Linked DNA regions of Caenorhabditis elegans. The protein of the gene in region 3 interacts with the protein of the main gene of each other region in a pairwise test. Each region holds a gene or a part of one and is shown on either strand. Other genes may lie near its edges. The genes, in order: grif-1, H28G03.2 and jkk-1.

Region 1 (7,676 bases), on a different chromosome or scaffold from region 3:
CAAAAACTGTAAATTCCAGATTTTTTTTTCTGGCAAAAAATCACTTAGGCTTTACATATTAAAATTGATTAAAAATTTTTGCAAGTCGGTCAAATTTCAAATTTTAACTAATTTTAGGACATTTTTCGAGCCGTCAGAAGTTTTTTTTTGAGAAGTTGGAGTTTTCAAGAAGTTTCATTATAAAATTCGGTGTTTTCAGACAATTTTGAGTCTAATAAAATTTTAAAAAAATAATAAAAAAATTCGACTACACCACCTTTAAAGGTTTTCGAAATTTCAGAATTTAAATTTTCGGAATAAAAAGTTTAGTTTTTGTATTTTCAAAAAAATTGAAAAAGCGGCCCCGATCTTCAACGCACCATCTCCCTGTCCAGCTCATCATTCCATCGCAAAACGTGCTCGGCGAGCTTCTCAATCTTAGCGGTCTTGCCTCTCAGCTGATGCACGAACGCATCATAAACCTTCTTCTGATTGTACGTATCACCAAGCTCACGGAATTTATCCATCGACAAATCGTGGCTCCCATTCCATCCGGCCCATCGCTCCATAGTCGCGTTAAGCTGCTCACGAAAATCGCGTTGCACTTTGTGCAAATTGTCCTGCAAGCCGACTATCCGCCGCTGATTCTCCTGGCGTTGCATTTCGACGCGAAGAGGCTGCAGACTGATCGACACGTGGTTCTTTTTGATGTGATCTCTGAGGAGACACGTCGAACACAACGCGTACTGATTCAGAATTACTCCTTGCTCGATGAGTTCAGTGGGATGAGCATCCTTGATGATTGGGGAGCATGTAGTGCAAATATTGGTGCTGAAAATTGGGGAAATTAATTAAAATCTGAATTTTCACAGTTTCACGGCTCGCGCGCGGCACCTCACGAACTCCAGAATTTGCGGGAATTCGTTTCGCGCGGGGACAGCAGTTTTTTTGCTATTTTTGGCTTCTATGAAAATTTTTTTTGATTTTTTGATTTATAATATTCTTGAGAAGCATTATCCGAATTGAAAATGTATAAAATTATGAAATTTGACCGAAAACTGGAGGTTTTACAGAAAGGAGTTCTACACTTTTCTTTAAAAATGCATCAATACCGCCAGTTTTTTGATTTCAGAGTCGTAAAGTATGTCATTTTGTAGAGAAAAGTCTGTTTCACAAAAATCCATGTTTGAAATTCTGATTATTCAATTTATAATATAAAAATATTCAAAAAATCAACAATTTTACATTAAAATCTTTTTTCTTTTTTTCGATTTTCCAGGTTTTAATAAAAACAATTTCAAAATTTCAAACATGGATTTTTGTGAAACAGACTTTTCTCTACAAAATGACATACGACTCTGAAATCGAAAAACTGACGGTACTGATACATTTTTAAAGAAAAGTGTAGAACTCCTTACTGTAAAACCTTCAGTTTTCGCTCAAATTTCATAATTTTACACATTTTCAATTCGGAGGATGCTTCTCAAGAATATTATAGATCAAAAAATCAAAAAAGCTTGAGCTTCACAGAAGACGAAGAGCTGCGTGGGCAGCTTTTACCAACATCAAAAGCACCACGGACCAGATCACCTGCCCACGCCTCCGTGCAAATCTCTTCGACTCTACGGTTCTCCCAGCCCTGACCTACGGCTCTGAAGCTTGGACTTTCACAAAAGAGCTAGTGGAAAGAGTCAGAGTAACCCATGCAGCCCTCGAACGAAAGTTAGTTGGACTCACCTTGACAGAACAACGCGAACGAAACATTCATCGCGAAGAAGTTCGAGAAAAGTCAAAACTCAGAGATCCACTAATACACATAAAAAAGAGGAAACTTGGATGGGCTGGACACGTGGCGAGACGAACGGATGGCCGATGGACAACTCTGATGAACGATTGGTGCCCCCGAGACGAGAAACGACCCGTTGGACGCCCACCGATGAGATGGAATGACTCTTTAAGAAAAGAAGTCACTACGCGAGACGCCTTCGGGCAAGTCAAACAACTATGGTCCACCCAAGCAAAGGACCGAAAAGCTTGGAAAGCTGTGATCCGCGCCGCAGGCGAAGAACGGATCGACTAAGTATCCTAAGTAAGTAAGTAAAGTATGTCATTTTGTAGAGAAAAGTCTGTTTCACAAAAATCCATGTTTGAAATTCTGATTATTCAATTTATAATATAAAAATATTCAAAAAATCAACAATTTTACATTAAAATCTTTTTTTTTTTTTTGATTTTTCAGGTTTTAATAAAAACAATTTTCAATTTTCAAACATGGATTTTTGTGAAACAGACTTTTCTCTACAAAATGGCATACTTTACGACTCTGAAATCAAAAAACTGGCGGTATTGATGCATTTTTAAAGAAAAGTATAGAACTCCTTACTGTAAAACCTTCAGTTTTCGCTCAAATTTCATAATTTTTCACATTTTCAATTCGAAGGATGCTTCTCAAGAATATTATAGATCAAAAAATCAAAAATAATTTCCGTAGAAGCCAAAAATAACAAAAAACTGCTGTCCCGCGCTAAACAAATTCCCGCAAATTCTGGAGTTCGTGAGGTGCCGCGTGAGCCGTGAGGCCGTGAGTTTCCAACGCACTCTTTCTCGTGATAAACGCCATTACAGCCGACACACGCGAGGAATGAAATATTATGATCGGCTTCTCCACGCATCGAATCCATCAATTCGATTAGCTGGTAGTTGGATCGAATGTAGTTGCGTGGAGTCTGGGTGACTGCCTGAAATTCAGCAAAATTCATTAAAAATTTTATTTTAATCTTCAAGGTGGAGTAGCGCCAGTGGAGAAATTGCTTTAAAACACGTCTATGGGGTCATAATGACCGAATATCATGATTAAAAAATTCAAATAAATTTTCCTGATTTTATATGATTTTTTGAAAATTGAAAAAATCTCAGTTTTTGCATAATTCCTATTTGAATTTCCGCCAATTGGATTTGTTCGTTGGGGCACTTGCACGTTTTAAAATTTAATTATTTTATTTATTCTTATTTTCCACCGATTTTTAATGTTTTCGGTGTATTTTTGCTCGAATTTTAGAGAAAAAGTCAAAATAAATGCAAATTTTCGATTAAAAAGCACACTGACAGGCGTAAATCAGTGAAATTAATTAATTCAGGTTCGAAATCGTTTAAAAGCGTTACTTTCTCATTTTTACGCCTGTAATCGTGTTTTTTAATCGAAAATCTGCATTTATTTTGGCTTTTTCTCTAAAATTCAAGCAAAAATACACCGAAAACATTAAAAATCGGTGAAAAATAAGAATAAATAAAAAAAAAAATTTTTAAACGTGCAAGTGCGCCCCACCGAAAAAATCCAATTGGCGGAAATTCAAATAGGAATTAGGCAAAAACTGAGATTTTTTCAATTTTCAAAAGATCATATAAAATCTAGAAAATTTTTTTGAATTTTTTAAATCAAGATATTCGGTCATTGTGACCCCATAGGCGTGTTTTAAAGCAATTTCCGCACTGAGCGGAGTCCACCTTTAATTAATTGATAACACATACCCTGCAAACTGGACATCTAATGTGCACAAACGAGCGGTCGATCGGCGGCCGATTGTGGTTGATTCGGCTCTGCTCGTCGAGCAAACCGATGCATCTCTCGCAGACCGTGTGGGCACATTGCAGGATTTTCGGAAGATGTTGTCCTTCGTCTGGAATATTGATTTTTTCAAAGATGTTTATGAAAAAATTGGAGGAAAATTGTGTTTTCGGTTAAGAAACCTGTATTCTAAGGGAAAAATCCATAAAAACGCTGAAAAATTCACTAATTTTCAAGATTTTCAATTAAAATTCGAGAAAACCAACTGAAAATTCGCTTTGTAAATTTACGCTAAACAACGCGCACGGGTGTAAGATCGGAGTGTCGTTGGTATTTAAAAAATTTAAAAAATTTCGCAATTTAATTTTCTTGATTTTTCGCTCAAATATCAAGCTTTTTAAGTATTTAAAAATGTGAAAATCGATAAAACACCTAAAAATTTGCAAGAAAATAGCCAAACACTGACGAAAAAAGCCGTTAAGCCAACAAAAACTCACTAACCAAATGGCTCAAGACATATCCGGCACGACGGGGTGCTGATATAAGTCTTCACGTCGGTGCTGCTTTTGAAACTGTACATTTTTGTCCACAGAGAACAGGAATAGGAGACGGAATGAGCGGAAATCGAACGGAAAACTCAAAGAAACAGAGTCTCTGCACCCAAAATTGGAAATTTGGCGCCGAAAAGTAGATAGTAGATCAACATCTGAGATGGTAGATCAAAAATTTGCGAGCCTAGATAAATTCGATTTTGACAGAAAAATAGGGAATTTTGTTATTTTTACAGTTAAAATTGAGATTAGGCCTAGGCTTGGCGTCAGTGGCGAGCGTTAGCTCGCCATTTAGGGTTAGGATTACAGCGTTTTTTTCATTTTTCAAAGGGTTCCCGTTGGCCGATCAAAGCGAAATTTAACACAGAGACGTATAAGCCACTAAGAAGCTTCCGTGTAAAATTTCAAATTGATTCCATCAAAACTCGCCGAGTTATGGAGCTTAAGGTGTTTACAAAATGACCCTCAACTATTTTTTTAAATTTGAAAGTTTGGCGTTTTGTCAGTTTTCTCCCTAAGCTCACGAAAATTTAATGACAGCAGGAAGGACGCAGGATAAGGTTTCTTGAGAATTTTGAGCCAATTTCGATTTACAGGAGCCGAGATATTAAGCTTGTAAATCTGAAAAAAGTTCGAGTCCGGGTGCGGGCGTCTAAATTTTTTTATGCCCTGTTTTTCGTTCACTCTGAAAACGCGCGTGTAACTTGACGGTGGGTGGATGGATTTTGATGCGGTTTTTTGCTCTCTCTTCAAGAAGCTTGCCCCACCTCTGTATGCTTTATTTCAGAAAGATTGGAGCTCTTTGAGCCGAGATATGAAGAGTATTTTCGAGTATCCTCCAAAAATCTTTGGTTCCAAGGTGAAATTGTTGTATAAAAAGATCGTAGGTACATTTTAAAGTAAAAATTATTCCGAAAAAGTGATTTTTTCATTTTGAAAATCGAGGCAGAAAAAAAATTTTTGATTTTTTTTCCAAAAACTTTTTTTTTCCCTTCTCGTAGGATGGCGGTCGTTTGAGATATTTTGATTTTGAGGAAAACAAATGAAATTACAAATATTTCTAAAGCGATAGAGCAAACAAATTTCGAAAATTGAGTGAAAACTCACTGAGATAACCGACCTTGAAGCAAGTTACTGCCGTTTTTGCGTTGTTCATTTTTCAACTTTGAGCGTTTATTATTCACTCAATCTGAGATCAATTTCAATTTTGTTTTTTTATATAGATTCAAAATTTGACGCTAAATCCGAAAAACTAAGTTTCAAAAAAATTTTAGTGAAAATTTTTTTCAGCACCGCCAAAAAATCGAGTTTTTCAGCACTGATTTTTTCGAATTTTTGCGATTTTTCACTCATTTTTTGATGAATCTTTGTTTTCTTTTTTGTGTTCAATGAACAATATTTATGAAAAATGAAATCTACTAACAATTTGTGAAAAATTTATTTTTGAAAAAATTTTGTGCCAGTTTGAAATTTTTTCAAAAAATTAATTTTTTGCCTCTTGCCCAGAAAAAGTGGTTTGGTCTGGTGTTTCAACAATAATATTTTTGAAATTCTCACACCTTTTTTCATATCCCCTCAAATTTTTGTAACCCAATTCTCTCTTTGAAGGGAGATACAGGCGGGAGATACAGTTCGTTGAAGGGCTGCCAACACATCGCCACCCCACCCACAGAGAGACACACATTTACGACCCAATATATTCAAATATTACCTCCTGCTCTCAGTTTTCAAGATTTTATGATGATTTTTACTTCATCAGAAAGAACACATTATCTTTCCTATTTGCAGGGATAGAGGAAGACAAAAAAAAACAATATGGATTTAAAATCAGGGCTTCGCCCCGATTTTAATAAAATATATGAAACCCTCTTAAAAAGTTACAAGAAGGTTTTTCCTTGCGCTTGGAGCGCAAAAGAAAAGAAAAAGAGCTATTTAGACTTGGGATGCCCAACTGGAATAAAATATAGGAAATCCTTATGACACACTTAAGCCTAAGGGCCCGGAAAAAAAACTAGGATGCCCAACTGGAATAAAATATTGGAAATCCTTATGACACACCGGCGGTATGGCGCGGCTTAAGCCTAAATAGCCACTTTTATCAAAATACATTTGAGCTCGCTTTGCGTTTTACAATAACTTCTCAGACTCAAAAGTAATCTGTGTATATTTTTCAGTAATCTAAATGAAAACTATAGATTACTGAGAAACTTGGAAATTTTGTAATATTTGAAGGGATGCGAGCAATCTCTACATATTTGCGATCAACCTTTGGAGATTTTTTTTCTTAGTGAAGTTATAGAATGCCAATATTCAAATTCCTATCTCATGGGAGGAAAAGTTCAAATTCTGTACCTGCGTATATTTTTTTATAACTCCGTTCTTCCCACAAGAAAGGCCTTCTTCCCATGAGACAGGAATTCAAATATCGGCAGTATTCATAGGTACAGAATTCGAACCTTTCTTTACATGAGATAGGAATTTTATATCAACCAAATTAAATCTCCAGTAAAGTGGGACCTTTGATGAATATAATCACTCTGATGATATCTAATTCCGATGATTAATCCATTTTTCTTTCTCTCACACTTATGAACTAAAAATGATTACTAAATTAAGGCGTGATATTCTAAGGTGTGATAACATATGATATTTATTTTTAAATTTAAATAAAGTTTTTTTTTTATTTTTGCTAAAGAACGAATAGTTTACAACCGCCTCGCTCAAATGTATTTTGATAAAAAGTGGCTATTTAGGCTTAAGCCGCGCCATACCGCCGGTGTGTCATAAGGATTTCCAATATTTTATTCCAGTTGGGCATCCTAGTATGTTTTTCGGGCCCTTAGGCTGGTTGGATTGGGATTTCCAATGTTTTATTCCAGTTGGGCACCCTAAGTCTAAATAGCTCTTTTTCTTTTCTTTTGCGCTCCAAGCGCAAGGAAAAACCTTCTTGTAACTTTTTAAGAGTTAGGCTTAGGCTTAAGGTTAATCTCAAACTTCGGCTTAAGCATAGGCTCAAGTTTAGGCTTAGGCTTATGTTAAGTGATAGGCTTAGGATTAGGCTTAATCTTAGGCTAGGTGCTAGGCTTAGTCTTAGGCTTAGGCTCAAGTTTAGGCTTAGGCTTGGCTTAGGCTAAGGCTTAGGTTAAGTGCTTAGGCTTAGGCTTAATTTAGGTGCTAGTCTTAGTCTTAGGCTTAGCGCTTAGGCTAAGGCTTACGCTTAGGCTTATGCTAAGGCTTAGGCTTAGGCTCAGGCTCAGGCTTAAGCTAAGGCTAAGGCGTAGGCTTAGCCTTAGGCCTAGTGTTAGGCATAGACTTAGGCTTAATTTAAGTGCTAGGCTTAGGCTTATAATCAGGCTTAAGCTTAGGTTAAGTGCTTAGGCTTAGGCTTAGGCTTAATCTCAATTTTTGATTTAGGCTTAGGCTTAGGTTAAGCGCTTAGGCTCAGGATTAGGCTTCGGCTTATGTTAAAAGCTAGGCTTAGGCTTAGGCTTAATCTCAAATTTTGACTTAAGCTCAGGCTTAAGCTTAGACTTAGGCTTAGGCCTAGGCTTAAGCTTAGGCTTAGGCTCAGGCTCAGGCCT
Region 2 (7,676 bases), 160 kb from region 3:
TTTCTTATGGTTTTAATCGCTTTTACCCGTATAACAATGGATGCTAGCCTGAAGTGTTTTAATTATTTTTTGTTTGTTTTAATAATGGTTTTAACTTGTGTGTAGTGCAATATTAATTTAAATATGGAGTACCGAAATCTGAGACATCGTTTTTTTAGGACCAAAATGACCCATAACTACCAAACTTCGTATCAAAAAGTTTTGAACATTCTTCAAATATGTAAACTGTTTAAAATTTTGGAAAAAAATACGTACCTATATGTAATTGAAAATCTTAAATTTTGAGACATTAGCTGAAAATAAGCCTTTTTCCTAAAACTTTGAACCATTATTACTTTTTTTAGAAATGTTTAAAACGTTACGTTACGGAATTCGGAAGTCTTGGGGCATTTTGCGTCTGACAAAACAAGGACTCAAAATCCGGTACTCGACCTTTAAGATGGTTTTCGAGTTGTTTTGTTGTCAATTTATAAAGTCTCATTTTTTTTATCAAGTGTGTGTTTTGCTGTGCGAATTCCATTTTTCACGCCACAGTATTTCATGTTCTACGGTATTCCAGATTGCAAGCAAGTCCATGTGTTGCTGACCAGGCTGGACCATCCCCAAGTATGCCTGTCAGCGATCCTATTGCAACCACTTCCGGTAGCCCTGTTGTTGTTAGCGCTGTAGCGGAAAGCACAAGCGAGTCTGCAGAATTGATGGATCTCGAAACAATGCAAAATTTGTGAGTATTGCTCGAACGCCCACCGAACAGTTGTTCAAGTTATTTTTGATCCCTCTTGACATTCCTCACTCATTTCCCCAGACACAATTGTTTATCGTCAGTCTGGAATTGCAGGTTGTCACCTGCGACATTACGTGCTCGAGAAGATCTTCTTACTCAACAACAAGCCAAGATTAATGAGCTGGTCAAATTGATTCAGAAAAACCATGACACATTGCGTGAACAGCAACAGCAAATTAATTTGGCTAAAAAACAACAGAAACAGAGACAGCGACAAAATGTTCCTTCAGCACCGTTGGATAAGCACGTGAATAGTAGATGTATTCAACATGCTATAAAAAGCCGCCAAAACTTTCAGATGATTAATGTGAGTGGCCACTAACATCTCATATTTGTGCTCAATATTAAACAAGTTATATTTTACAGGAGCTCACTACTCAACAAGATAGTATTCGTACTGCTGAAACACGTCTCATTGAGCAGTTACACATCAACACCGCTACAGATGATATTGCTCGTTTGATCAAACAGGTTTGCATAGTTTAAGTTTTCCCGAGTTATCTTATCAATTTCAATTGCAGGATGGCAGAACAGCTCTCGTTATTGTTTCTTTGCTACATGACTATCGTACGACTCGAGAGCAGAACAACCGTGCCAAATCAACGACTGGCGAGCAGCCTGTTGTAGCTGATAGCACAGCAGTGGAGGTTACAAAAAAGGTAATATAACGTGACTATCTTTGCTTTTTTTTTAAACTCTGTGCATTTTTTCAGAAAGCTCCAGCCAGAAAAAGGAATGCCAATGGAACAACAAAAACAGCACCGAGCAAAAAGACTGCGCAGCAGAAACAGGCTGTTGATAACGATGTGATTCAGATTATCTCTTCAACGAATGAACAAAAAATCCCAGTTGAACAATCTCAGCAACAAAATCAACAGCAAAATTCGCAAAAACAATTCCTCGAGTTCCACCATCCTCACGTGCCACAAAGAGTTAGCTCGCAATCTGATGTCGACATGGAAGCAATCTTCAAAACTGTCATTGATGCTTCACGCAGTCAACAAAAAGAAAGTCAGACTAAACAGCAACAGCAGCCTCAACAACAGCAATATGATAATGAAGTGATCTCGCTTCCATCTGAAGTATCTTCTCCAATGCGCACACAAAGCCAAAACAGCGTACAATCAGTGTTTTCTGATGGCTCTTACAGCAGAAATATGGCATTCCAACAGGAAAACTCGCCACAGGAAATAACATATTCTATGAGCAATGGTGCTGAATCTAATACTTCTCAGCAAAATGAGTCACCTCTTCAAAACTCCCAACATTCAGAGGTTGTAAGCAAACAGTCCGATATTGTGGAAATTCTACCACAGTTTGATCAAAATGTGATGAACCATGACGTGAATCAATTCCATAGCAACATGATTTATAATGAAGATTCGAATCAAGAATTTATTGCTCAAAACAGTCAAACGCATGATCTTGATTTCGACTTCCCAGACATTGATCAAATGGTCGCTAATATTCGAGATTGTAAGTTACTCCAAAAATGTTTCAGCCTCTCAACAGTGTATACTTTTTAGCCGATCCTCTGAGCTGCCCACTAGACGATATTGATTTGACTGCAATTTTGAATAGCTGGACCGAGACTTCCGATCCAAAACAGCAGCATACATCTGCTGATGTAAGTCATTATTTCAAAAAGGCAACATTAAATATGTATAATTTAGATGAACATGTGTGATGACTTGGTGTATGATGGATCACAAATGATCAATCAGGATATGAACTGGAATGACTATGACCCTCAATCAAACATTATTAATCAAGCATTTGAGCAATCCCAAATCAATTGATTTTCTAACCAATTAATTCTTTGTTAATTATTACCTTATTTAAATATTCCAAAGCCAATCATTTTTAATTTTTTTACATTTTAATCCTTGCGTTAGAATTTGATAGCTCTTTAACTAGTTTTAATAATAATTCCTCCTTGCATTTCCAAACCTGTAAAAACTTTCCAAAAAAGAAAACTTTCCCAAAAAATTTGTTCCAGTCTATAAAAATATTCCTTCTTCCACGATTCCCAAATTTATTCCGGTTTTTCTTATGTTCCATAGCTCAATAGTGTTCATGCTCTTCTTGCAACTAGATTACTTTCTACCGTGCAAAATAGTTTTGTTCAGTATATTCCACATTCCTATCAATTCCATCCCAAAACATTCAATATCTACTACTATTTCTTTCCATTAACTTGAAACCATTTTGTCCATCTGGTCGTGAAAAACAAAAATAAACACCTGTCATTTGCATATGAAGTTTTGTGAAGCGGAAATCCATCAAGTGTCGGCGAGAAGTCGAGATAATTGAGAGTAAGGGGAAAATGGATGTAAGAGCACGGACGATTAGAAGCGAGTTTATGCTTTTCCTGCACACATTTACTAACATCATTTGGCAGGATGTGAAGATGTGGTAGTTCAACGCTATAAACAGATAAAAGGTGTAGAGAAAATTTGGATTGTCTTCAGCTTTTCAGAAGTACGCTATAAAAAATGTCCTCAATAATTGGTTGGAAACATGGAAAATTGAAAAACGTTTAAAAACAAAATTAAAATAGCGTAAATACCGTCCAAAACGGTCCCAAAATTGAAACTTCATGAAATTCAGGTATATATTGTGTTCACAAAGTTATGCTTCAACGGCATTATAGGAACCAAATAAGAACAATTGAGCAATCAAATTACAAAATAAAAATTGTTGAATTTGAACAGGTTTTTCTTAATCCCGGCAATCAGTGAATGAAATTTGTTAGTATTTCTACTTTGATTTCGTTTTTTAAGCTTTTTTGACTATCTTGTTGCACAATAACTACACAAAAAATAGGTTCGGGATTTAAAAAATGTTTTCTAAGAGTTGAAATAAAACTGAATCAAGAATGAATCTGCACGTTCTGAATCAAATTTCGCTTCCAGAGAAAATAAATAAAACAACTTTTCGAAGCGTGTGAAAATTTTTAATCATGATTTAGAACATTTGAAAATTATTTAAACATGTATAATTGCTTTTTAACATTTTAGAAAAATGAATTTAATTATCATTATAATTTTTTCAAAGAGAAGTCACTCATAATTTATATTTTTCTCGGGGTGGTACACGGACCAATATATTTTTGATTTTTTTTACCGACCGAACTGTATACAATATTTAATACGTAAGTTAAAAAACTGGCAATATTTGCAATACTTTTTCAGTTAAAATGCGAAAAACGTTTAAAAATGGATCCCCCTATCACCTAAAAATATGTTTTTTAAGTTAATTTATGGGACTGAGGTGTATGTCCCGGATAGTAACGATTTGCTCATCATTAATTCATGTTTTTTTTTGAATTTATAATGTTTTAGTGCCATTTGTGGAAAAAAATCCTTTTTGAATAGCATACAACAATACTTGCTTTAAAAACTAATCGACAAAAAAATAGATTTGCGTTTCAGCGATTTAGTTATTTGATCAAAAAACAAAAAGAAACATCAAAAACTATGAATTATAAATTTCCTTGAAAACAAAATTAACAGTGTAAAGATAACTAAACGGAAATTTATTTGCTTTTTAACGATAATGAAAACAAAGTAAAACTTTTCATTCCCTTCTTCTATATTTTTCATTAATTTGGTGCATCTCCATCTGCATCTCTATAAAAACACGTAGCCACCAATATTCTGCAAAAGAGTGACGACATATCGCCTCCCCAATCTACAGGCACAGCAACATAGCGTGTGTCTGTAAGAGACGGCGAGAGAGCGAGCGGCCGTGGCCTAGCGTTTGCACTCAATTCCGCGGAGTCCGCGAGAGCGCTCATTTCTTATACAGTCCTCATTCTGTGTGCAACAATGCAACGTGACAACGTCATCGACTCTGCCGGCAACCCTCCTGTTGAAAACCCGGATATCGATTTGCAAGACGGCGAAATTGGAGAAGAGAGTTTCGAGGCAACGCAAGCATATTTGCAAGATATGGAAAATTCCGCTGAAGCGATTGCTCTGGAACGTCAGAGAGCTGAAGAAGCAGTTATGGCAACAATGGATGAGGATGACGATGGGCTCAATGAGTTTGGACGGCCAAGAAATCCGCCAAGAACACCACCAGAGCCAGCTCCAGAAGGCCAACCAACTTGTGAGTCTATTGGTTTTGTTAATGAAGAGTTCGACGATGTCTCGGATGATGGCGAGATTCCTGGAAGAAAACGAGTAAGTTATCATGCTTTTAAAATTTTTTCTTGCAAAAAATTCGTCGGTTTTCCTGCGAATAATATAATTACAAATTAATAAATTTAGTAAATTTTAAAATATTAAAAAAAAATGTCTTCGCAGATGGGCAAATAGCATTTGCCCAGTGAAAAAAAAATCGATAATTCGGCAATGTGTTGCCGTAGAAATATGGGTTTATACGAATGAAAATGTGCATCCAATTCTACTTCGCTTTTGCAAAAAAAGGAAAGCAAAATTATCATTTTCGAAATGGCAAAATTATTAAAAACACATGCCCAAATCATATTTTCCGCACAAAATAAGAAAATTGTTTTCCAGATTGGACCAAAAACCCCACCAGAAGAGCCGGAATCTCCAAAACAAATCGAGCAAACTCGCGAGCAAGGAAGCGATGGAGAATTGACTGGAGACGATATGGTATGGAATTTATTGTTAAAAATTTTTAACAAGTATCACTCAAATTTACAGGAGCCGATTCCAATTATCGAACCAAAACTGAACAAGGAAAGCAAACGTGAAAAACGGTGAGTACTAAGTCCTGTGATACAACTCTGTTCATGAGTCTGGAATTCTGAATGTTCTGTAATACCGTATGTCCTCTATTGGTTTTGCACCCCTTCGCTCAACTTTGACAGCTCATATCTCATTTTGTTATGAACATATAAATAATTAACAAACAACATACTATAGAAAAACATCTAACAAATATTTTATCAGTTGACAACTTTTCTATAAAACAAACGACTACTGAGATATGAGCTGCCAAAGTTGAGCAAAGGGGTGCAAAACTAATAGAGGATATACGGCACTTGAAATATATACATTTGTTGATTTAATTAGGAAACATGTTGAAAGCACCTTGTAAACTATACATTACAATGCGCTCTACCGAGCCACCTTGACTGATATCTTTAGATATAAAGTTTTCTGCAGAACGTTTATGAAAGAGCTACTTTTATTATTTTATAAGGAGTTTTAAGTAGCAGTCACGTTAGCTGACGTTTAGAGTCACGTTTAGAACCATAGTGAGTTTTTTTTTCCGTGATTCGTTTTAAAAGAACATTGATGTTTTCTTAGAAAAATATTTCGGCTCAATTTACTATTCTTGTTCGGTTAACACTGAACACTAACTATTTTGGTTCCGGCGTGAGCAAAACAAGCCAACTACCACAAGACGGAAAAAATCACAAATTTAACTTCAAAACATTGTTCACTTTGCATTCTAAGGAAAACTGAAGACAGTTGATTTTGTTAAGCAAAGTTGACAGGTTTAGAACAACTTTACTTTCACTTATCAAGTTTTACAAACACCATTGTTAAACTGTTGCAATATTCTTGAAAAAATTGAAAAAAAAAATCCCCTGATGTTTACAACATTCTTTCCGTTTAAATTTTGTAATTCTCTGCGACTTAACAACGTTTGAACGTAGGGTACATTACTTTTTGAAGCGAACAATACCCATTCAAAAACCCCCATTCCAATAGTCATAACAAGGTCCAGTTGTTAACTCTGTCATTTTTATCGCATTGCGAATAGTGGCAGGTATAGGCGATACTCATTCTAGTTTGCAATAATGCGAAAAGACTTACAGTTTCGCAGATTTATAAACATATTTTCAAAGAACATTTTTAATTTGATAGCACGTAGGAAAACGTAGGAAACAACAATACATCGTTTGTAAATGATTTGTGCTTTGATTTTTGCTGATTTGATTTTTTCTTCACCGATAAAACAACATACTATCAAAGAATGAATTCGATGTTTCTTCTTATCGGCTTCTTCTTCTTCTTCTTCTGTGCTAACCTAACTCTGGTTTTTTTTTACCTTTTTGTTTCTTGGTTTCTATCCGTTTGTTCTATTCTCAATTCCCCACAGTGTCAACATGTTTACTCTAGTTATCTAGTTATATTTTCCACCTACGATGCGTTGGCTCAGCGGCAGGGAGAGAATATATATTTTTTCCTTCTCTATCTAGCGTCTGGAGAAAACTTCTTCCCCACCCTCCGATACATAAATTATAGGCGGGGTGTCGAAGAAGGAGGGTCCACAAATGTGTAGTTTTCTCGATTATTGTCTAACATCCCATGCCACCCGTGGGTAGAGGGAGGCCTCCTTCCCCACTCTCTCCTTTTGGCAAGTTTTTGCGTTTCGGCCGAAATTTTTGAAGCAATGCGTTACTTTGCATACCCGTGAATATATTAGTTGGTTGTTTCTTTTGACAGGCCCCGCCATACTACCTCTCTCGCCAAAACGAAGGGCAATTCAGCAGCTCATCTCGGCACACCTCGGACAGCAGGTGCGGTTTGGCGGCGGCGGTGGAAGATCGAGTTTCAAGGCGAATGATGGGACCCCACGAGTTCATCCGAAGCCATCATCTTTTGAGTATTTGGTTGCTGCCTGTTGCGCCTGCTTGCCCTTTAGATGTGTCGGACTCTTGTCACTCGATATTTTGTTATTTAGGACCCTCGGATATATTCGTTTCATTTCTCGTCTTTTTCTCTTCTTCTTATTCATTTTCTCAACTTCTTATCGCTCGTTTTCTGTGTTGCGGAAACATTTCCAACGTAATTCTTTCGTGACGCAAAACCAAAAGTTCAGTGACCTCCGCATAGTTTTCACCAGGAATTGTATTTCTGTAGTGCATTGTTCAAATTATTAAAATTCAGTGGGTGATTAGAGGAAA
Region 3 (7,676 bases):
GGCGTGTTTGGGATCGACTTCAATTCATCTTCGGTTTTTGAAAGTCGAATCACGTCGACGAACCAATCCGCAACTTGATTGCATTTTCCATTGATCTGAAATTACAGTCAGTTTTTGTACTGAAAAATTTGCAAAAAAAAACACTTACAGCTTTGAACTTGTAAGCACTTCCACTGGCAGGGTCGTAATCAAGGTAGAAATCATGCTTCTGTAGAAAAACCTTTGTTTTAAAAATTTCTCCAACCTATTATTTTACCATTAATTGCCTATATTCAGGTCTTTCTCGAACATCCTTTCGCAAGCATAGGTCCAAGAATTCAATGAATAGAGGTGAAAAACTTCGCTTTGTCTGAAACATAGCGTATTGAAAACGTAACGGAAATTCCGAAACCTCTTCTCTCAGACTTGGTGATGGCAAATTCAGGTTTGCAATAATGGTGAGAGTTGTGAATTCCATGTCATTTAGTGGAAATGGGTAGAGTCCAGTGACAAGTTGGTAAACAGTGATTCCCAATGACCAGACATCGCTTCGAACGTCGTATTTGGAATTCGTCTGCAATTTTTTCAAACTTCATTATTTACTTTTAGACCTATTAACAGGAGTGCCCCGCGGCTCACTGTTGCGATCGGGACGTGACCCACATTTCGGGTCAAGATTATGTTTCAAAAAAAAAAGTTCAAAATTTTTTTTTTGACATGTCAAGCATGATCAAGCCGAAACTAGTAGCAGGGAACCGGGGCAAGTTGCGGGAAAAATCGGGCGCGTGGAGGGCGTCACCGCCACCGGCACATTTTTGTTCACAGATCAACATTCAATTTCATACCTCGATAGTTAATCTTTCAGGAGCCATATATGGCGGACATCCTGCACTTTTGGAATGAGCCATCGAATCAGTCATAAATCCACTTATCCCAAAATCACACAGCTTTACATTGCCGCTGTCATCAAAAAGGATATTCGAGGGTTTTATATCGCGATGTATAATCGACTGAAAATCCGGAATTAGTTGTTTAGTTTGTGCACAGCAGTTTCTCTTTAATCTCTTACATGTTTTTCCTTGAGATAATCCAGTGCACTAATCGCCGAGTAGACGATGTGACCGGCCACAAACTCGGGGAAAAAATCCAATTTTGAATGATAAATGCGACGCAGCAGCTTCTCACAACACGCTGACATGATTTGCATACAAATTTTTACAGACGACTGGAAATGGAGGAATTGGATATGTTAATAAGAATGTCACACTTACATCAAACATGAAATATCCGTAACTGGTGACAATGAACGGAGAATTGCACATTGACATAATTCGGACGTCACGAAGAATTCGTTTCAAATTTTCCTTATTGTCATTTTTGTACATAGTCTGAAGAAGACAAAGCTGAGGGAACCGTTATGATTCTGTGTCAACGTATTCTCTAGAGTCGCATTTATCAAACTACTGTTCTCACATTGAAAGAGGTTCAGAATTTTTACTGAAATTTGTTTTCCACCAATTTTAGAGGTCTCTCCTCCTCTCTAACGCATTTGCTTTGCATTGACAATTGAATCAAGAAAAACGAAAACAATGGAATTTCTAATGGTCTTTAGCACCACTACAATTTTTCGCCCCCGCATGATAACCCGTGAAGGACCCCTTCTCTTTTGAATTGCGTATGCAACGATTCTGTCAATCTTTTTTCAAGAGTTCATACTGGAGCCATGCAAGATTTATTCTATTCAAAGTGGTCCGGATGTGTATCTCAACCATACATCACTGCCTCCGTGTGAGGGGTAATGCTCACCTTCACAGCCATCAATTTTGAGCGAACCGTCGCAGATTCGACTACACCACAAGAGCCGCTTCCGAGCAGGCTGATGATGTGAATCTCGTTTGGGTCGACAACTTGCTTTTCTCCTGATAGGAAAAAGATTTTAAAAATTAAAGCTTTGATGTATGTCTTACCATCAATTTCTAATGTTCCCGATTTCTTGTACCCTTCTAGAAACTCGTATTCCAACGCATCTTTCTCAGTATCTCTTCTGGATGGCGATGGTTTCATGGAAAGCGGAGTAACTGAAATTGTATGTATGTAATAACTAAAGGTCGTTCTCCAGGCACACATTTTCTTTCCATGGGGCTTGTTAAATACCCAATGTTATTCGGCCGTTGGTGTTGAGGACTTGAAGATGTGGAAGAGCATTCTGTAAAACAAAATTTGAGGGAATTAAGAATGACAACACATACGTGTTTTTTGGAATTGAGCCGATGATCTCATCACAAAGAATAATTAGATGGAATTTTAAGAATAATGATGCCATTTGAAGGCTAGACACCAATATTTCAAGACAAACCTTTATGTTTTTGATCTACCGAAGTTGATCGGCGATCTCTCGGCCGTAGCCGAACCTCAGTCAATCCCAACTTCAAGAATTTCCATTTTCTCACCCTCGTCTCCAGATCTAAAATCAATTATTACAGACTCAACACGGAGGAAATGAGATTGTGTGTTTGGCGCTGATTGACACTTTGGTTATTTTTAGTAGTTTTTGTGGTACCTATTGCCCGAGAAGCCAAGTACTTTTCTTATCAAGAGGTATAAGTTCGTTGGCTACCTTGTTTCACTAAAATTTAGGTTACAGGTTGAAAATTAATTGCATCAGCATCATCTGGGTATCAGTCAATGAGCGGTTACCGAATTTGCCAATCGCTGAAATTTTCAGCAACCGGCAACCGTCGGCTGCCGAGGCCTTGGCGTTGTTCAAACATATATTTCTGTTAAACTCATATTTCAGAGTGTTTTTCGAGGAAAAAATATAATTGTTTTATTTACAGTGACGATATTCGCAATATTTAGGGTCTTTGAATGCGTATTTACAAAACAATTGAAATTAATATCGAAAGTTGCCGAAGTTGGCGAACGATAAAACTTTCGGCAGCCGACAACCGATGATTTCCGAACCTAAGGCTACTTTCTGGCAATCAGCAACTTGGTTGACCTGTTTTGCAGTTCATTAAATTTTCATCAAAGATTCTAAACGGAATATACATAATCTACGAATATTTTGCTACGTACTCAGCCGACAATAAACAAATATATGAAAAATTATATGTTTACCTCGTAATCTTTGCTGAAAACAGACATTCTCCATTTAAAACCAAGGTAGAGTTGACAACAAAATAAAAGAATGAAAGAATGACCCGTTGGCCGTCGTCGCTCGTTCCGAAATTTTAATAAGAAGACGTATGTGAGGTTCCTCGCGGCAGCGACAGCAGCAGCAGCACCACTAGCCCAATGTAGTAGACGAAATGGCAAGACACACACAGCTATCGATTCTGAATGCACAATGCTAGTCGAAGAAGCGCAGGGGCTCCCGGTCTGGCCCCTCTTCGCTCTCATCACCCACATCGTGGAGGAGGAGCCGTGAAGAAGGAGAAGGGGGAAGGCTATAAATGCACACACATACTAGTGAAAATATGCGGGAAGAACTGCTCCTTTCTTCGGCTCTTTCTCTCTTCTCGCGCATGTCTCATTTCCAATTGGTCCCCCCATCATCCTCTATTTCGACGCGTTTGGGATGCGTGAATCTTTGCAGCTTCAATGGGTGGTCCTATAAGAGAGAAAGGCTAAACGCTAATGGGCGATTTGAATGGGGGCAAGTTTGGAGGAGGTCTTTTTGTTGCTCATCTTCTTTGTGCCGGCAAATAGAAGTTACACGATGACACACAGACATGCGCCTCTGCACAAATCTCATCAGCGAGAAAATTGGGTGAAGCATGTTCTGTTGAAGACGATTCGAGGTTCCAAATAGAAACGATTCACCTGGTTAAAAATAATACTCCGAACAAATGTTTGAGTCACAGTTGCTTGTTTTAAAACTTGTAGACATTTTTGGCCACGTTTCAGAATTACGATTGTTTGACTATGAAAACAAAATTCAATTAAAAAAAATAGATTTACCACAATTTGGACAGGTTAACCCTTTTGGTGGGGGATATTTCAGATTTAAAATTATTTACATTTCAAGCAACCTTTTGAACTTTTGGTCAAGTCTCGTGTTCTTAGTTCCTTTTGCAAGATCTCACGTTTCAATACCACATTTCTTCTGATTCAGTTACTTTCACATTTTCCGGTCTGTCTGGGAGCAAACACAAAGTTCCGAAAAAGTCTTGCTCACTCATGCACATTTCAACAGCAAAAAAAGTTCGTTTATTGCGTTACGGGGTAATACATGTACGTGGCTTAGTTAATTTTGATTAATCCTTTCTCGTCTTCAGCTGAATAGAGCCCGAACTTTTTGAATTTTGCCTCGGTCATCTTTTTCAAATCGGCGTAGGTAATATGGTAACCCATGAGTCTGTCGAGATAGTTGAACCACGGTTGGAAACATGTCAGTGGTCTCAGATGGTGCATGTCATGAGCCGGAGCACCCGAGTAGAACCAGAAAATGCGATGAAGAGCAAATGGGAAGTCGTATCCAATGTGAACCTGAATTCAACTTTGTCAACTTTAAAGGTCAAATTTTAATACCTCATAAGAGACGCTCTGGGCGATAAAGAACCAAATCCAGTAGGTCAAGCAGTGAGTTGGGAAGATCCATGGGATAGTGGTGATGAATGTTCCAACAAAGAACAGCTGAAAAAACTTACTATTTTAGTTATAAATCTCAATTTTCAAAAACCTCAAATGGGTGAAGATGTTGTGCAGATGCTGCGAATGGGGATGAGTACATATGATGAACAGAGTGACACCAGCGGTAGAGCCATTTTACCTGCAAAATGTTGAGTGATATTACCATGATTTGTGTATAGGACAATTATGACTATCAGTGATTCATTCCACTGATAATATAATTTTTGAATCGCTGAAAAATATGTAATAGCTTTATGAAATTCAAACTGAAACGTGCTTAACGTTGGTAAAAAATTATTTCGAATCTTAATTTCAAGTGAGAGAAAAGCTGCTAATGAAGAAATCAACATTGATGTAAATTATGACGTCATAGCATAAACTAAAATGCATTATGTGACGTCAAAATATACATTTTAATAAACCTCTTTGCATACATGGATAACCAAATAATAGGAATCGTAAAAATAAACACTGAAACGTTTGCAACAATCAAAAAGTTCCTATCAGGACGTTTCGACAAAATGACAGGTTCCGCAATATGAATTAGTACTCGGAATGTGCAACGTTTTGGAAACTTTTGCCTAAACGAATGTAAACCTGGTGGAAAATTGGCGAGCTTTGCACAACAAAAAATTATTTGTAGCTGGTGAGTTCCCGATTATATACATTCAGAGAAGGTTTTGAATTATATTGTGAAACATGGTCTAATTAGTTTCAATGTAACTCGATTTACAAGTTATTAAAAACCGTGTTTTATGACTACTCCAATCATACTTCACACATGCAACCGTTGTTTGTTATCAATTACCTTGTGATTGATATAATGGAACCAGAAATATGTGAAATCAAAGGCCAGGAAAAATATAGCCAGCTGTGAAAGCATTTCAAAAACTGTTGGTGCCAGGATAGGAAGCTCTGTATCAGGTACCCAAATTAACTGGACAAGTGCCATCGGGTAAATCCACAGGAGCTGATTCCATCCTTGAAGCTTCAGTGACTTCTTTATCAAATCCCAGGTCACTTTTCGATCTTTTTGGATTTTTGCATCTTTGAAAAATGGAACGTTGCACAGAAACACGTCAATAACTGAAACATTTTGTAGTTTAATTCAATGTTATCAACCCGTGGTACGTGCTTACATGTGAAAACGGCTACCCAAGTGTAATCGATTGAGAGCGCATAGAACGGCGGGAAAAGCGGCGAGCTTAAAATGTGTTCATTTCCATTCTGGAATCGAATCATGATTTACAAAAAAAGGTTAGGTGAAACTAACTTTGATCCAATCCCATGCCGGTTGAAGAAATCGTGTATTCTTCTCGTATTCCAACTGATCAACTGTTAAATTTTGAACAGGGTATAGGTCTAACATCTAAAAATACCACACAATTGTAGCTCAAAATTCAACAGAATACAAAAAGAAACAAATAAATTGAAAAATAAATATGGTCTGAGAAAATGAAACTATGCGTCTGGTTATCATAAAAATGGTTAATGATAAGAGAGCAAGTAGAAGCCAATTGAGAGACGTATGATGATGGAAAAGTACTGAAAGCAAAGTATTTAAATTTCAACAAAAATAACTACTAGACTACAATTATAATTACCATTCATGGACATAAGACATACAATTTTGAAAAAAGCTCGTTAAAATTATTTATTTCCTAAAATACATGAAAACAGTATAAATTTATAAACACCCATAAAAATAAGTATGTATGTCATTTTCTTTGAAAGGTGTTAGATTTGTATAACCTTCAAAAGATTGAACGAGTAAAACCGCGTGCAAAATAACCGGTATGTCTACTACTAATCAGTTATCATCACCACTTGTAATGTCATTCTGATAACTAAAAAATTATTTTAAACACGTGTGAATTATAATGAACAAGAACTTTACAAAACACAGTGGTTACATCGCTTTCAAAAAATGATGTACAGGTACAGAACAAAATGTTTGAAATGTGTGTTTTGAGCAGTGTAATTTTTTTTCAATCACTTTTCAAATTTTTTTCTTTATGTTCATAGTTTTACGAAGGTTTTTTCTTTTTCATTTTTGATACTTCATGAAACTTTTCACGTGGAGTCAATGTTTATAAATGTTGAATGTTTCGAAAAACGTATTTGAAAACCTAAACCTGATAACCTCAGAATATAAATCAAGCCTAAAAACTAAGCCTGAAGATCTAAACCTGAAAATATTTATCATCACTGAGCCTAAAAAGGCAGCTTGAAAACAGTAGCCTGAAAGCATATTTCTTAAAACGCAGCTTAAAAATTAAGCCTCAGTTCTAAAGATTAAGTTTTTTTTTGGCTAGAAAGATGAAAAATGAACTATAGTATATTGTGACCTGGATATTGAATTTTTTAATGTTTGATGTACATTTCTTTCTAGTCCAACATTTTTTATACACTTTCAGGTGACCCGGATATGTTATTACTTCAACATAGTGCACACAACTTCCTTCACGGCATCATCACCGCTCATTTCCCAAAAAGGCTAATGAATTTTTTCCTTTCGGCTTCTTGATGTTCTTGATTCAACAACAAGCGCTTGCAATCATCAGGCAAGTACAATTTTTAATCAATCCTTATCGTAAATCTTTTTCACTTTACAATATCTTTCCTTTGGTTGCTCGGCTATACTTGTTGCTCAATTTTCAATTTTCACCTTCAATTTCACTACAGTTTTCTATTATTTTTCGGAATTCAACTCTATATCTTGACTTGCGAACATTCAAAAGTTCACACGTTTGCTTACAAACCGTAATATCTATTTGTTTTCATCTCTGAACATTTGGGAGGAAGAGTAGGCCAAAAGTAAATACATAGTTAGCCGTGGCAAGGTGTGTTTCGCTTTCATTGTGCCGCGTTTTTTGCTGCTACTGCATTTGCACTAACTATGAAACAATACAACTACAGTTATGAAGGTCAGTTTTTAGTATAAATCTGGTAGGAAACGATAAGGAAAAAATTGAAGGTTGAGTTGTGTCTTGTATATATTACTTAGAATTTTTTTTAGATTTGTTGTTTGTTTGGTGAAACAGAACTTGATGTATACATTA

The links.
Region 1: the proteins of jkk-1 (region 3) and grif-1 interact in a two-hybrid assay, tested with the Caenorhabditis elegans proteins (one large-scale study listed by BioGRID).
Region 2: the proteins of jkk-1 (region 3) and H28G03.2 interact in a two-hybrid assay, tested with the Caenorhabditis elegans proteins (one large-scale study listed by BioGRID).

The regions. Positions count from the first base shown.
Region 1 is NC_003279.8:1,974,500-1,982,175, reverse strand, and holds the start of grif-1 (RING-type domain-containing protein), read right to left. Parts: upstream 4,147-7,676; 5' UTR 4,125-4,146; coding exon 4,046-4,124; intron 3,657-4,045; coding exon 3,508-3,656; intron 2,718-3,507; coding exon 2,578-2,717; intron 811-2,577; coding exon 360-810; intron 1-359.
Region 2 is NC_003284.9:5,201,210-5,208,885, forward strand, and holds the start of H28G03.2 (WW domain-binding protein 11), read left to right. Parts: upstream 1-4,610; 5' UTR 4,611-4,614; coding exon 4,615-4,971; intron 4,972-5,310; coding exon 5,311-5,409; intron 5,410-5,460; coding exon 5,461-5,516; intron 5,517-7,676. Other genes in the region: pqn-62 (SAP domain-containing protein), read left to right, coding at 560-724, 839-1,091, 1,151-1,255, 1,306-1,443, 1,498-2,260, 2,311-2,411, 2,458-2,583.
Region 3 is NC_003284.9:5,364,122-5,371,797, reverse strand, and holds the start of jkk-1 (Dual specificity mitogen-activated protein kinase kinase jkk-1), read right to left. Parts: upstream 3,331-7,676; 5' UTR 3,134-3,330; coding exon 3,100-3,133; intron 2,483-3,099; coding exon of another isoform or gene 2,463-2,482; intron 2,444-2,462; coding exon 2,336-2,443; intron 2,186-2,335; coding exon 2,105-2,185; intron 2,058-2,104; coding exon 1,947-2,057; intron 1,899-1,946; coding exon 1,786-1,898; intron 1,368-1,785; coding exon 1,251-1,367; intron 1,205-1,250; coding exon 1,049-1,204; intron 990-1,048; coding exon 825-989; intron 554-824; coding exon 392-553; intron 350-391; coding exon 257-349; intron 209-256; coding exon 149-208; intron 96-148; coding exon 1-95. Other genes in the region: F35C8.8 (uncharacterized protein), read left to right, coding at 2,463-2,482; F35C8.5 (Cholesterol 25-hydroxylase-like protein), read right to left, coding at 4,225-4,470, 4,513-4,617, 4,664-4,753, 5,423-5,700, 5,754-5,841, 5,888-5,983. UniProt on the Caenorhabditis elegans protein: Dual specificity protein kinase which acts as an essential component of the JNK signal transduction pathway. May phosphorylate jnk-1.